Danio rerio: one gene and its partner. The protein of the gene in region 1 binds, or shares a complex with, the protein of each later gene. Links are inferred from orthologs where the notes say so. Each region holds a gene or a part of one and is shown in the gene's direction. Other genes may lie near its edges.

Evidence for each region.
Region 2: strn3 (region 1) and stk24b share a complex: the UniProt entries of both Homo sapiens proteins name them as parts of the core of STRIPAK complex. The link is inferred for Danio rerio from reciprocal best matches to the Homo sapiens genes STRN3 and STK24.

The regions. Positions count from the first base shown.
Region 1 is NC_133192.1:30,203,262-30,210,691, forward strand, and holds part of strn3 (striatin-3), read left to right. Parts: coding exon 1-109; intron 110-203; coding exon 204-342; intron 343-437; coding exon 438-579; intron 580-5,301; coding exon 5,302-5,438; intron 5,439-5,790; coding exon 5,791-5,966; intron 5,967-6,109; coding exon 6,110-6,157; intron 6,158-7,430. UniProt on the Homo sapiens protein: Calmodulin-binding scaffolding protein which is the center of the striatin-interacting phosphatase and kinase (STRIPAK) complexes.
Region 2 is NC_133181.1:13,508,308-13,515,737, forward strand, and holds the end of stk24b (serine/threonine-protein kinase 24), read left to right. Parts: intron 1-3,974; coding exon 3,975-4,123; intron 4,124-4,267; coding exon 4,268-4,307; 3' UTR 4,308-4,998; downstream 4,999-7,430. UniProt on the Homo sapiens protein: Serine/threonine-protein kinase that acts on both serine and threonine residues and promotes apoptosis in response to stress stimuli and caspase activation.

The DNA.
Region 1 (7,430 bases):
TAGGACTGTCCGGCTCAGAGCAGAATGGTTCCGTGGAAACCAAGAACCTAGAACAAATTCTAAATGGAGGCGAATCTCCAGCCAAAAGAAAGGGACAAGACATGAAAAGGTGTTGATTGATTTGATTTGATGCAACTGGTAAATTCATATAAACAATTAAATGAGATTTCTTAACGTTGTCTGTGATGCCTTTTGTTTAACAGGAATCCAGAAGTTCTGGAGACATTTAATTTTTTAGAAAACGCTGATGATAGTGATGAAGAAGATGATGATGAGGGTGATATAATGGAGGATGTGCCTGACAGGAGCGATAAACGCAGAATAAAAAAACATAAGATTAAGGTGTGTAACCAGGATATTTTACATGTCAATGATCTCAAAGTAGTCATTCTCAGGATATAGAAGTTCATGTGTTGTAGTCTTGACTACTTTTCCAGGTCGGAAATGAAGGATTGGCTTCAGACTTGCCGGATGACCCTGACACAGAGGACGCACTCAAAGAGTTTGACTTTTTGGTGAATGCGGAGGATGGAGAAGGTGCTGGGGAAGCTCGGAGTTCTGGAGACGGCACAGAGTGGGGTAAATAGTTTGCTTTTTACTTTAATGCTGCTTTACTATGGTACATCACACTTTTGGGAGATTTGCACTGTGCAGAGTACCTGGTATACCTCTGTTGAGTTTTGAAGTGAGCTGTGCAGAAACTAAAAGAGAGAATCGTCACTACCTGCGTCATTGTAACACGACACAACAAACCTGCAAGATGTAAATAAATAGTCAGCATCAGCCGCTGTGGGATTATTTTCAATGACTGACACGCATCTTCTAATGGCTGTATCATGGTCAGTAGAGAAGGTGCAGACGTTCCTCATGTTGATATTCAAGAAGCAGATCCAGTGTGATCTGGATGTGGCAACCAGGAATTAGGTTACATTTTAGTAGATGCGGTGCAAAAAAACGTATAATCTCATCCACTTTGCTTTTTTTTAACCACACAGTGAAAAAGTGACTTAAGGCTACATTTTCTTGTCAACAATGTAACCAAAAACTGAAAACTTTTTTTACTTGCATTAAAAAAAAGTTTCACATTTACATATCTTTTTCAAAATACATTTATGAAAATGTCCTAAAACACTGATTTATATTTGGCAGAGCAGTATTTGATGTTTTCACCTTGTTAGTAGGGCTGCATAATGTTAAAAAAACTGATATGGCAATATTTAGTTTTGCTGCGATATAATATTGCGTTATGAATATAATCACTAGATTCACTGAATAGCTCCAACCTATTTGGAAAGATGTCATTCTTTGAGATTGACTGAGGTGATCAAATCTATTTCTATGCAGTGTGTCTAAATATGACAGAGTAAAAATAAAAGTTTAATAAACAGTGCTTTTTTTGTGGAGTCTAACAGTATTCAAATACAAAACCATACAAAAATATTGTACAAATCATTGTTTAAACCTTGTATGCAATAATATAAAAATTATATTCAGCATTTTCTTTATATTTTGATATTTAATCAATTGAATACTGCGATGTGACTATTGTGGAAAAACACATTGCGAAATCAATGCGCAAGCGGTATATTGTTCAGCCCTACTTGTTAGAAAATAGTACCCCAAGGAAGGAATGATGTTCAGTTGGCGGCTCTGCGCTGATGTTTATGTAGAATTCAAAGTGTGTAAGATGCGTCTATGCTGTTGCTTGTAATGCAAAGTAAATCCACACCTTGCTCCTGAAGCATTAGCCAACAGTTGAGCATCAACAACACTAGCATGTACTGTGCCACTGTTGTGTGTTTATTTGGGCTTGCCTTTAATCTGCATCTCCCTAAATGTGCACACACATGACGTCATTGTGTAAGCCCCAAAAAAATAGTTATTGAAAAAAAGGCGACAATGTTCTTAATAACTTTAACTTTGAAATCCATTTTCATATTTATGCAGGTAATGTCACAGAAATGCTAAACGAACAAGCAAAATACTTCAAACGTTTTGAGATATTGGCTGAAATTGTTGTCGCATAAAGAGCCACTAAGTGTGACTGAGTATAATTTGTGTTATTGAGTGAAAAACACAGGTCACATTGGTGTGCAAGTCTATAATTCATTCCAAAGTAGTATGAAATTGGCTGCCAGTAGCCCTAAATAAACTGAAATGCCTACAGACATTATAAACGTATATTCTACTATGTCACTCTACAACAAATCTTTTTAATAGTGCTCAGTACAGAAAAGGAACAATAGGTATGAAAAAACTATCAAGAATAAAAAGCAGTTGTTATGTCAGTGGCTGAAAGCATAATTCAATATAAATGTCAAGTCTAAACTTGTTTATTCAAAGCAAAACTGAAATGATTAGCATTATTATATATATATATATATATATATATATATATATATATATATATATATATATATATATATATATATATATATATATATATATATATATAAAATATGTGCTATAATCTAAATAGTTGTGTGTCTCATTCATCACCAATCCACCAATGCATTTGTTTTGCTCACCTCATACTAATTCCATTAAGTCACTTTGGAGTTTAGGTTGCATCCTTTTTAAATGAAAAAATGTCTTATATTTTGAAATACATAATAATTGTCAAGTGATGAAACAGGGCACATCTCTTAATATTCTTACAGGATTTGAGTGTTTGATTATTAAGCAGGACATCCTTATTAGTGTGTAGTATTGAAATATGGACTGAAATTTAAAGGTTCATCCAAACAAGAACTATTTATTATCAACCCAGCCTAGTGTTGATCCAGCTCTGTTTTTTATATTAGATTTTAGAATGTTCATTTATTTGTGATTGGTCAAATCAAAAGTGGTTTATATTGAAGACTTCTAAACAGGACATCATAGCACCATAGTGATGCTATAATTGTTTTTTTTTTTTATGACAACAGATTTTCAGCAGCCATTACTTGTCACATGATCCTTTAGAAGTAAATAAAACATATTGATGTGTTAATAAAGAATATAATTTTTTTATTGCCCCAAATATGACATTGTTGATTTTGACTTTTTGTGGTCTTACAAAGCTTGGAACATACAGGTGATGATGATAGTCCATTAGTAAACATTAGCATTAATGTTTAGTGTATGGAAATGAGCTGTTTTGACATTATGCAAGTTTGCTAGTCTTTTAATTAAAGAAAAGAGACTGCATAAATGTGAAAACATAATGAACTATATGAATCTGTGTCTGTATGGGCATGTGTGTTCCTTGCATGTGATTGTGGCACACACCGGCCCTGCAGTAGAATCTTAACGAGGCCAGTTGCTGCATCAGCATTCCTGCCAGGAGATTCTCTTACTGCTCCGACCAGAGCCAGCTGGGTCAAACACATCAGCTCATTACATCCATCCCGCAGCCGTGCTTTTTCTTTTTGTATCTCTCACTCTTTTTATCTTACTCACTTCTCTTTGACCTATTTCTAAGCTAAGGATTATGTAAATCTTACTATAGAGTATGCATTTTTGATAAAGTAGCATAATTATGTGTGAAGTGTCACCCCTAAATTGGGATGTTTATTACATTTAAACATTTGATCAATACGTGGTGTATTCCTGAAACATAAACTCTGTTGATTAACCCAGACTTTTGTTTCTGAACGTTTCTTCATTCCAAAAGTTTGCAAGCAAAGTTACCTTTTCAAAGTGAGCATTTTAACTCCAGGTCCAGGTGTATCATAATTCTTTCTTTTAATTCGTCACACCCATTGCGGCTTCATTAATAAGACATGCATGCACCTAACACCTCTAAAGTAAATTAAGCCGGAAACATAAACCTCTCTAAAGCAGTTGTTCAGAAAGAATTTGTAAGGAATATTTGGCTACAGATTGTACAAGCAGGTTTGTACAAGCAAGATTGTCCTTCAGAAAAAAGGATGTTTTTTTTTTTTTTACAAACAGTGTCTGACATAAGGAAGTTAAATGAGTAAAAGGGAAAGAACGGTCAAACTAAAACAGATTTCCAGAAGAAATGTTATTTAAGTAGCATTTCAAACCACATATGAATGTTACTTGAATAGAGTTTGTAAATATGTTTTTTATTTTTATATTTACGTTCACAGTAAAAATAAGTGATTGTGGATAGCCGGGCAAGTTTTTATTGGTCAAAAATGATTAAGTAGTGTGGATACTAGCAGCTCATTTCCACTGATTGTTACGGTCCGGTATGGTATGATTCGGTATGATTCGGTATGCTTTTATGGCCATTTCCACTGTCAAAAAGTACCAACGAGCAAACCGTAGCGTACCACTTTTTAGGTACCCTTTTGGAAGGTTACCTATCACAACAAATGGGTTACAAAAGGTGGAGCAAGACGCACAGCTGAACGCTATTGGTTTACAGAGAAGCATCACTAGCTCATGTGCAAGCCAGGTGAATGAAAACAAAGGAAGCTTTTTTTTTTTTTTTTTAAACTGCCATGTTTACCTATTATCATTGCCTTCTCAACTATTAAGAACTCTAAATGATGGAATTACTTTCTAACAGAGGCTACATGTGCTAGTGAAGATTGAATATGCAGTTGAGAGGTCTGCACTGACTTTGGGCTATATTGTGTGTTGTTTTTGAACCCCAAATAAGGAAATGTATGCTGTGTGCCGTTATTTTTTAATGAGTAACATATCGGAGACTTGGTTTGTATGTTTTCATGCATGTTGCATTTATTTATTTTATATAATTGCAGATGTTACAGTAGGTTATTTCGCCTTATCATTGATCTGCCATCAATGTAACTGTAACAACTTGGTTTTAAAAAGAATTGTATTTGTGTAAATGACACTTTAGAATCCATTTTTGTGTTAGGCTCTGTTTTTTGTTGAGCTCATTACAATTGCATGCTCAAAGCTAGCTTTTTTTATTTTTTTTTTATTTTTTACTTTTAACCATTTCAAAAGTGGCAGAAAAATGGAAGCTTCAACTTTCTCTATTGTTATCCATTGTACCCTTGGCTTGCTTATTTTACACTGTTAGAGGATGGTAGATCATACTCCCAAAGATTATAAAAAGACCATAGATATATCCACCCATTACCTTCACCACAAAAAAATAGGGAAGTGGACAAAAGTGTTAGGTTAAAACACTGGGTAACAAGAAATGGATCTCATCTATCTCTAATCGACCCCTAATTGCCTCTTACCAGTGGCTTACAGATTTATTAAGCTGTTAACTGCTATAAAACATATTACTGTATTGCTTAAGCCCCGTTTTCCACTCCAAGGTGTGGCGCCTTGTTTACTGGGCCCTTCTCTTCTATTTTCTATTCTTAGCTGAGCCTCTGCCATTCACGCCTGGTGGGGGCAAGTCCTTTATCATGGGTTCTGATGACATGTTGGAAAGTGTGCTGGGCCTGGGAGACCTCGCCGATCTGACTGTTTCCAATGACGAGGCTGAATACAGCTATGATGTAAGTACCCAGACTGCTCCTCTGCTTTAATAATACTTTACACTGGCATTAATAAATAATAGCATCGACTTGAAAAACACTGTCTGATCCCCTGCTTAATTTTTAAATGCAGTATTGTTTAACTATCAGTTAATTGTTACACAAAACAAAGCCCATCATGTTTACTCAAATGTCTTGTACTATATTAGTTTCATTCTGTATAAAGGTTACAGAGAACATCAGTTGTTCATGCCTGGTGTGCTTTGCTGTGTACTCAGATAGGACAGCTATCCTATTCTCTTACTGTCAATCCTTAATGAATCAATCATTTCACAGTTATTCCAATGCCTTTAAAATGCCCCCCTATTTTTAGCTGCCAGCCAATAAGGATGCATTCAGGAAGACATGGAATCCCAAATATACCCTGCGTAGCCACTTTGATGGAGTGCGAGCCCTGGCTTTCCATCCTGTAGAGCCGGTGCTGGTCACAGTCTCAGAAGATCACACGCTCAAACTGTGGAACCTCCACAAGACCGTTCCTGCCAAAAAGTAAGTGCTCGCAGTGGCCTTCCAAGGAAAGCAATGTCCTGAGTTTGAATTAATGTTTTACATAGCCGCATTGATTTCAAAATGTTTTTTATCTGTAACAGCTCTAAATAAACCACTAAACACAGTTTTAACTTGCTTTGCAGAAGTGCCTCTTTTGATGTGGAGCCTATATACACGTTTAGAGGGCATATGTAAGTATTTGTTATTACCTTCTTTGTTTCACTTATTGGTTTTTGGTGTGTGATTTTGACCATAAAGTAACATCTTGATTTTTAGGCGAGGGTTATTAATTCAAGCGATTAGTTCAAAATGTCAGATTCATTTTGACCTGAAGCAAAGGACTGTCTTAATGAAGAGATTATTGAGTTATTAGCTCACTTGATTTGTTCATTCAGGGACAAAACCCTGCAAAATGTTCTCCTCCAACTTTTTTTCGAAAAAATTTCATTGATGTAGCAAAAAACATTGTGTCTGAAAGGTATCTCACTCAGGATTCTTGTGTGCTGAAAGTTTGATGCAAAATCAGCATCAAATTTCAAATCCACTCATACTTTCAACTCTCACCCATAATTTGTCAGTTATTCCTGAAATTAATGGCTCATTATAACGACATTCTAACAGGCTTCGTCACACTTTGATAACTTTTGTATTGTAATGACATGTATTGGAAGAATATGAGTAATTTTCCAGGGCTGGTTCACCATTATAAAAAAATTCAGTCGGTCTTTCATAATGTGTGAAACCGCAAACATCATGATTAAATGATAAAAGATATAAATGTAGCTATTTTGTTTTTGTTGTTTTTGAAGTGCCAAAATTTTATGAAGACTTATGCCTCATTCAAACTAACAGTGATTTTTTAGCTGCCTGTCGCTCTGGGTGGCGACCTGCTGCAAACACAGGTCTGTGTAGGTCAGGGCTATTCAATTGGCAGCCCGCAGGAAAAGTGTGACCAAGACATCAAAAATAAATTTAGTTTAGTCATAAAACGGTTACCATAGTTATGAAGTGACATGCGTCTGTTCAATACAGCACGAGCTGCAGTTGAAAACTGCGCAGAGCGTGAGTCACCTAACATAAGCAATTGCTGCAAGCAGCTGAAAATATTCAAGTGGTGCTCGCTGCAGAGCCATTTGAAGAGAGCTGAGCTCCAGCGAGGGGGAGCTTAAGCTTGAGCTCCACCTTTTTTGCACTTCTTCTACGAGTGATGTCACTGGGGGTAGGGTTAGGGGTGGGGTTGGTGTACGCATTAAAACAGCTTACAGGAGGAGGAGCGACAGCTCATGCTCCTCCTCGCTGGAGCTCAGCTCTCCTCAGATGGCTCTGCAGCGAGCACCCTCTCAAAATATTTGAATATTTTTGTAGAAAAGGTCTTTTGTACAATGCACTGATATTGTTAACAGGGATGCAATGATTTGCCGATTTCACTATTAACCGCACTTTAATTCATTATGGTCAATTTAT
Region 2 (7,430 bases), on another chromosome or scaffold:
TCCTTTAATACGCACAGTGAGATATATAAACAGTACCATTAAACAACACAAGCATTTATAGCAAATAAAGAAATATAAATATCATGCTCGCTTTCTGAGCCTTGTCTACCAAGTTTTTACACCCCTTTGATTGGTTACGCGCTCAACAAAAAGGGCTATGATTGGCTCTTCCTCACTGCTGCTCTTCACAGATGAGTGACACTAATAAACGGCAGCGGTGGTCACAGCTAATCCTTGATAGAGACGGTGGAGAAAACTCTGCAGACAACCGCTCGTGACTGTATCCAAAGGTATCGCTGTAACAGCCGAGAGGAGGGGAAAAGTCATGCCAGCAGGTCAAATGAGCCACAGTGAGAGACAGAGAGAGAGAAGTGGAGTTTACTTTCTCTCAATCGCAGTGAAATAGGGACATCTGCTGTAAGTGTCAGTGAAAGACTGTCCAGCAAACACACACACAGTGAAATAGTGCACAGCTTCTGCGTTTTTAAGTAGTAAGTATGGTAAACAACTGCCACATAGCGCATATGAGATAAATGACGTCAGTATATAATAATGATTTTTACTGAACCGATACCGAATTGTCCTCGTATGCATCGCGGTGCACCGAAGAAACAAGTAATTTTGACACCCCTACTGTAAATCCTGAAATTCAGCTTTAAATTGCAGGAATAAAGTTCACTATACAACATATGAAAACACTTATTTTTAAAATATAAATAATATTTCACAATAATGCCTTTTTTGTTACTGTATTTATGATTAAACAAACACCTTAGACTTTTTCAAAATGATAAAACAGTTCTTGATCTAGAACTTTGACCGCTAGTGTAAATTTGCATGTATCTTTTCATATGGGAGTTTTCTTATGCAATATGTAGGCTACCTTTTCTGTAATTCACCTAGGGCTACTTTAGGATTTTATTGCTTCGCCACTGATATATTAAAAGATATCATCATGAAGATTAAAAGTGGCCCTCAAATGCTTTGATATCTTATAAGTATCTTTTAAAGGCGTCCGTCACTCCCTCAGGCCTCTTGCTAATCAGTATGGAGCAGTGAGGTGTTTGAGGAGGAGAGCGGAAAATAGAGGAATGCTTTGGGAAAGAAAAAAGCCCAGGGAAAAGTGACTGCACACTAATTTGTTCCACCATCTCCTTACTTCAAGGACAAACCCTTCATGAGAGAGAAGAGCCTGAACTGGACACTTGACTAGAAGAAGATCAGTTTAAGAGTTAACCATATGATGATGTGTCATGTGACCATAGAAGAATGAGATAAAGATTTATGCAGTTGCAGTTGTTTAACAGAGAGAACTTTTTTTTTAACACGATTCTAAACAGAATTTCTATACAGAATTCAAACAAAGTTTGAATAACTGATTTCTTTTATCTTTGCAATAATGGCAGTACATAATATTTTACTAATTATTCTTCAAGATACTTGTATCAGCCTAAAGTGAGATTTAAAGGCTTAACTAGGTTAAATAAGTTTACTAGTTAGGGTAATCAGGCAAGTCATTGTATAGCAGTGGTTTGTTTGGAGAAATAAATGGTTGAGGTGGTTAATAATATTGGTAATTAAAATGATTTAAAAAATAAAAACAGCTTTTATTCTAGCCAAAATAAAACAAATAAGACTTTCTCCAGAAGGAGAAAAATTATTAAAAATTATTAAAATTAATTAGCCCTTTAAGATATATTTTTTCTCCACTGTCTACAGAACAAACCATTATTAAGCATTAACTTTCCTAATTACCCTAACCTACCTAGATAACCTAATACACCTAGTTAAGCCTTTAAATATCACTTAAAGCTGAATAGAAGTGTCTTCTAAATATTAAGTAAAATATTATGTACTGTCATCATAGCAAAAATAGAATAAATCAGTTATTAGAGATGAGTTATTGAAACAATTATGTTTAGAAATGTGTTGGAAAAAAACTTCTCTCCATTAAACAGAAATTGAGAAAAAAAATAACTAGGGGGGCAAATAATTAAGGGGCCTAATAATTCTGACTTCAAATATATATATATATATATATATATATATATATATATATATATATATATATATTTGCATATATTTACATAATACAAAATTAACAACATTTTGATATAAGTGACCCAATATTACTATAGTGTTTTAAATGAAAATAAATAGTTAAAATAAAAGTCAAAATATAGGTATTTATCATTATTCAGTGTAACATTTCTTTTTTTGCCAATAATATTAATTGCAGTTTATGCAGATACAATATTATATAAATACAAAAGTAAAAATGCTGCCGTTTTATATCCAGTCCCTATCATCAAAACCAAGTACAAATGACCATTTAAAATAAACATTTAAAATAAATAAACAGAGTAAATGTACAAAAAGGGAGTTATTCCTCTTCTGCTTCAAGATCAGTAGTATCATTATAATTCAACAAAGGTTTATAAAAAGCTTTTAAAGAGCCTCTTAATGAAAACCCTATTTAAACACACAAAAGAAATAATTTTATCTATCAATCATGTGAAGATGAATGTTTCCACTTAAAGAGAATAAGCGTCCCAGTGTAACAGATTACTATAAGTCATTATACTAAATATTATATTTGAAATGAAAATCAGTCAAATCAAGTGATAGTGGCATAATATAATAACTCAATAGTTTAAAATAGTTTAATATGAAGTTTGATTCTTTGATCACATGACTCTAGTTTGAAAAATGCAAAGAAGTTTTGCCGAATATTGCTAAATTAAATGTCACAAATCAGTGAAATTGAGTAATAGGGGCATGATATAAAGATTTAAAATGACAGTGAATTAGTATTTCATGCCTGCGCTTTGATTTTAAAATAGTAGAATGTAACGTTTGATTCTTTGATCAAAAAATTTTTTATTTTTTATTTTTTACCTTTTTTTTTAAACATTTTACAGCAAAACCCTGTCCCCAACAATTTAACCCCTTACACATGAGGGGATACATAAAAAATAATAATGAAATTAGAATTTTAAAAAATCTATTAAAAGAAAACAACAAAAATAAATAACAGCTATTGCCATTTATTATTACTTTACAGAGAATACATTTGGACATCAGGTTACATTGTGTTGCATTGTAGTAACCTCAAATTACAGTTATTTGTTATGATAACAAATGATGATGATAAGTTAAGTTACCTTCAAATATACAAATCTAAATATGTCATAATACTTTTCCACCTCTTCAGAAAAATACCAGTCTCCATTTGTAGACATGCAGTCATTTTTTGCATTATATAGACCTGTGTGTCTCTGAATCCACTGAGCCACCTTTGGAGAGCTTTCTTCCATCCAATGTACTGTTATTGATTGAATAATTATTGTTGGAAATACGCCAAGATATTCCGCCACACTGAATGTTTTCCTTTGTAAATAAAAAAGTCCTGTTGCTCTTTAAAAAGAAAAAAAAGAGATGCTGTATAACGTATAAACATTTTAGCAGTATTAAACCTTTACTATGTTGATACTTCAAAACCTTTTTTTTCAATATACAGTAGAAGTCAACATTTGAAGTGGATCAAATGTTTTTCAAAATGGTTTTGCTTTGATGAAACGTTCATCAAACCTTCAAATGTTGACTACTGTATATTACTACTACAGGATATAGCCTGAGCTAAAGTAGCAGTCATAGCTGGTTAAATGTCTCATTAGCACTGTAAACAATGTTTACTCTAGAAGCTGTGTCTGTAGTAAAAGTATGCTGTGGATAGAGTCATAAGCTGGATATCATTTGTGTGTGTGTGTGTGTGTGTGTGTGTGTGTGTGTGTGTGTGTGTGTGTGTGTGTGTGTGTGTGTGTGTGTGTGTGTGTGTGTGTGTGTGTGTGTGTGTGTGTGTGTGTGTGTGTGTGTGTGTGTGTGTGTGTGTGTGTGTGTGTGTGTGTGTGTGTGTGTGTGTGTGTGTGTGTGTGTGTGTGTGTGTGTGTGTGTGTGTGTGTGTGTGTGTTCAGCTGAAGGAGGGAGCAGGAGAGGCTGCTGCAGCGACGACGGTAAAGCCTGAGGTTCTGGAGCAGCTCGGAGAAGCTATATTTTTGGCTGAGGAGGCTTATCCAGGCATCTCAGACGTCATGGTCACTCAGCTTATTCAGCGGCTACAACGGTAAGGACTTCCTCAAGGGTCATTAGTGTTTTTAAATCTATTAAATCTCCGTTAAACAGAAATCGGAGGGTGAAATATACAGGAGGGCTAATTATTCTGACTTCAACTGTACAAGTATTTCAACTTCCGTGTTCTCCTATGCAGGTTCTCTAGGGCAAGAACATCATCGTCATCGCACCAGTGATTACTCCATTGGCCTGTCCGTCTCTCTTAAGTCCCGCCCCCTCCCCCCGGCATCAGCTCAGCGAATCCTGACACCAGCAGACTCTGTGACGTCTACCCTGGAGGACCAGCTGTCCTTCTCAAACTCCTCAAAGCTTCCCCTAGTTTCACTCTTCTTTTATAATCTCCTGGAACACTTTGGAGTGTGTGTGCGCAAATGTGTGTGTGTGTGTGTGCGTCATAGTGTGTTTGTAATGGAGACTGCTTAAGCAATGGAGAAAAAACCTAGATGTAACTCCTCCGGCTGAGCAGAGCGTGATTCTTTGGAGGCAGGTCGTTTTTTGCATTAACGCTTTTGGAAGGAATGCATTAAAAGTATGCCATCAGAGGGCGAGGAGGCCCGAAAAACAAAATACAAGATAGTGTGCATGACTCTGAACAAAATGCATGTGTGGGGACGGATGTGTGTGTGTGTGTCTGTGTGTGTGTGTGTGCGCATCCAAGCCCTGATGTGAAGGAGATTGCAGTATTCGTGCTGAAATCTCAGGTAATCCAGGAAGACAGAGGGCGCTATGTTTGGATTTGTGTACAGATCTGTGTATATAGTTTCAATTTTACAGACCTTTAAAAAGAGATGATGGATTTTTTTGCAAATGAATCACTGTGTACAGATGGCCAAGAGCTTCTGTAGATATTGTTAGAAACAAAAGAAAGGTAAATATTTAAAAAACAACAACAACAAAAATCAAGCCTCTGAAATGGCCATTACTGAAATGCCTTGCCTTTTTATCAAATGTACATTTTTGGGGGTGCTCTGTTAATTTTAATAAGAAATTAAAGGGTTTTACTCAAAAAAAAAATTTATCTGACTTTCTTATTTTCATCTGTTTTGGACTTAAAATGATACTTTTCGTCATTTGTGTTATAGACAAACTACCATTTTGTAAACATTGAGCATGCGCACAGCGAAGTTGCAGAAAAAAACAGGAGCGTTAGCATTTACAGCAAGTGAATGCTATCCGATGCAGTACAGAGATTGTTGTTGTATTAGAGATAAGTTATATTGATTACATATTATATATATTATTTACATAATGCTTTCAGCGTATTATAACAGCTCGTCACCCAGTGACAACCACAGTTATTCTGCAAAATTAAGCGATGTGCGTCTGACAGGTCCATTTGCGACAGCACCCTCCCAATGGATATTGGATAAGGTGAAATGGCCAAACATCCAGCCCCAAATATACAACTATCTCATTAAAACTCCACGTGATTCTACAAGAGAGAAGCTAAAGGCCAACAAGTCTTTGGATGCCTACAATTTTGTTCTGTGTGGTCATGTGCAAGAGATAATGTTCCATGATTACCAGATTCAAAACTGTAGCGCTAAAAACCGAGGAAAAGGCCAAAGACAAGGAAAGAAGATGGAACTGTACAAGGCCTGGGTAATCATCAACAAGCAAAACAACTGCATTCTGACAGTGAACTGCACCTGTACGGCAGGGTATGTGAAATGACACTTTTACATTTCATTCTTAGAAACTCTCTGCAGTTTAATGAACCATATTTAACTGTTTTTGCTGAAATCATTGCTGCAGTCAAAAGTGAGTAATGTGTATGATTCAGCATAGCCTAAACTCACTTGATATGAAATGAGAGAATTAGTTAGCTTTTTGTTGAGCATTTTTAAATAGGTCATCACTCCATTCAGCTCTTCTGATGGCCATAAGCCAAAGACGTCTGCTGTTGGCAATAAAAGCAGTGTGGTGTACGGTAAAATTAAAGTTTTGTATTTGGACTTTCGATTTTGGCATCCTACCGCACAACACCACATGTTTGCTATTGCAACCGGTCTATTTTTGCAGTCGGTATGGTATGGTTGGTAATTCCCCTATTAAGCCTGGTTCATACTTCTGCGTCAAGTGATCGGCGTGACCCTCGGCAAGCCTTTCACGGTGCAGTGCATTTATACTTCTGCGCACTGTTTCTGTTGCTCTGCAATAACACTTCTGAAACACTAGCTGGCAGTGATGTGTTTATGTACTTCACTGGTGTTTTGTTTTTTCTGAATGCTTCCTTAATGTACAAGTGGCTCAAACTCACTCATTTTGAGGCAGGAACCAGCGCACGTGCAACAACTTTAACCATAAGATAAACACAAAACAAAACTTTCCATCTGGAGTTCCTTCACGGGACTCCACACCTGTAAACACTCGCTCCAGCAGACTCGCGCGGCTCTCGGTACTGCTCACACTCATCGATACCTAGCCGACCAATCACAAATCTTGCGCTACGCGTTGTTGCGATGTGTATTTACATTTTTTTTAGAGGTGCGCGTCAGCGACGCCAACAGCCATGGTGAGGACTATGCGTCCACGCGTAGACTGCGCAGTAGCATACACGTGCGCTTGACGCAGAAGTATAAATCAGCCTTCAGTTTGATAAATCAGAGCTTGAGTTCATTTTAAAGGCCTTATTTCATCCTTTAGTCTAAGTTTAGGGCTTTATAAATTAGTATGAGTATGTTAGTCTTCAAGTATATCTATAAGCTAGTGTGATACAAAATAACAACAAAATTTGCATTTAGAAGACATAAAACTGATATAATCATGTAAAGTTTGTCACTTCCTCCTAAACGGATAAGCTTTTTTTCACGTCACCTCATACTTTACTTTCTCATCAAATCTTGACCAATCAAATGCTCTCTAGTATCTTGCATGCCCCGCCCCCTTCAAGACACTTTTCATTTGATGCGCTAGAGCTCAACTACTCTCACTAGCAGAGCTGTGAGAAAACTATTGGCTGCTTTTTAAAAGGGGAAGGGCTGCTTTATGTCCCGCCCTCTTTATTTTTCAGTTGCGATTACATCAAATATCGAATACAAAAAACACATTTCAAAGGCCTTCACTGGATCTTTTAAATTTGCGTAATCATAGCATAAAATGATGCGTAATTTGGAAAGAATATCCTCAGTAATTACGTTTTGAAATATGTTTTTGAAATATTTTTCGGTGTCCCCTCCCACTGAATTAATTGACAGCTGTTTAATATTGCGTATAATTATATCAACAAGACAGGACGTGTGCAAAGCGACCAGGATTAAAAGATCTGTTCAGCTTCCTGTGATCATCAATCATCATGT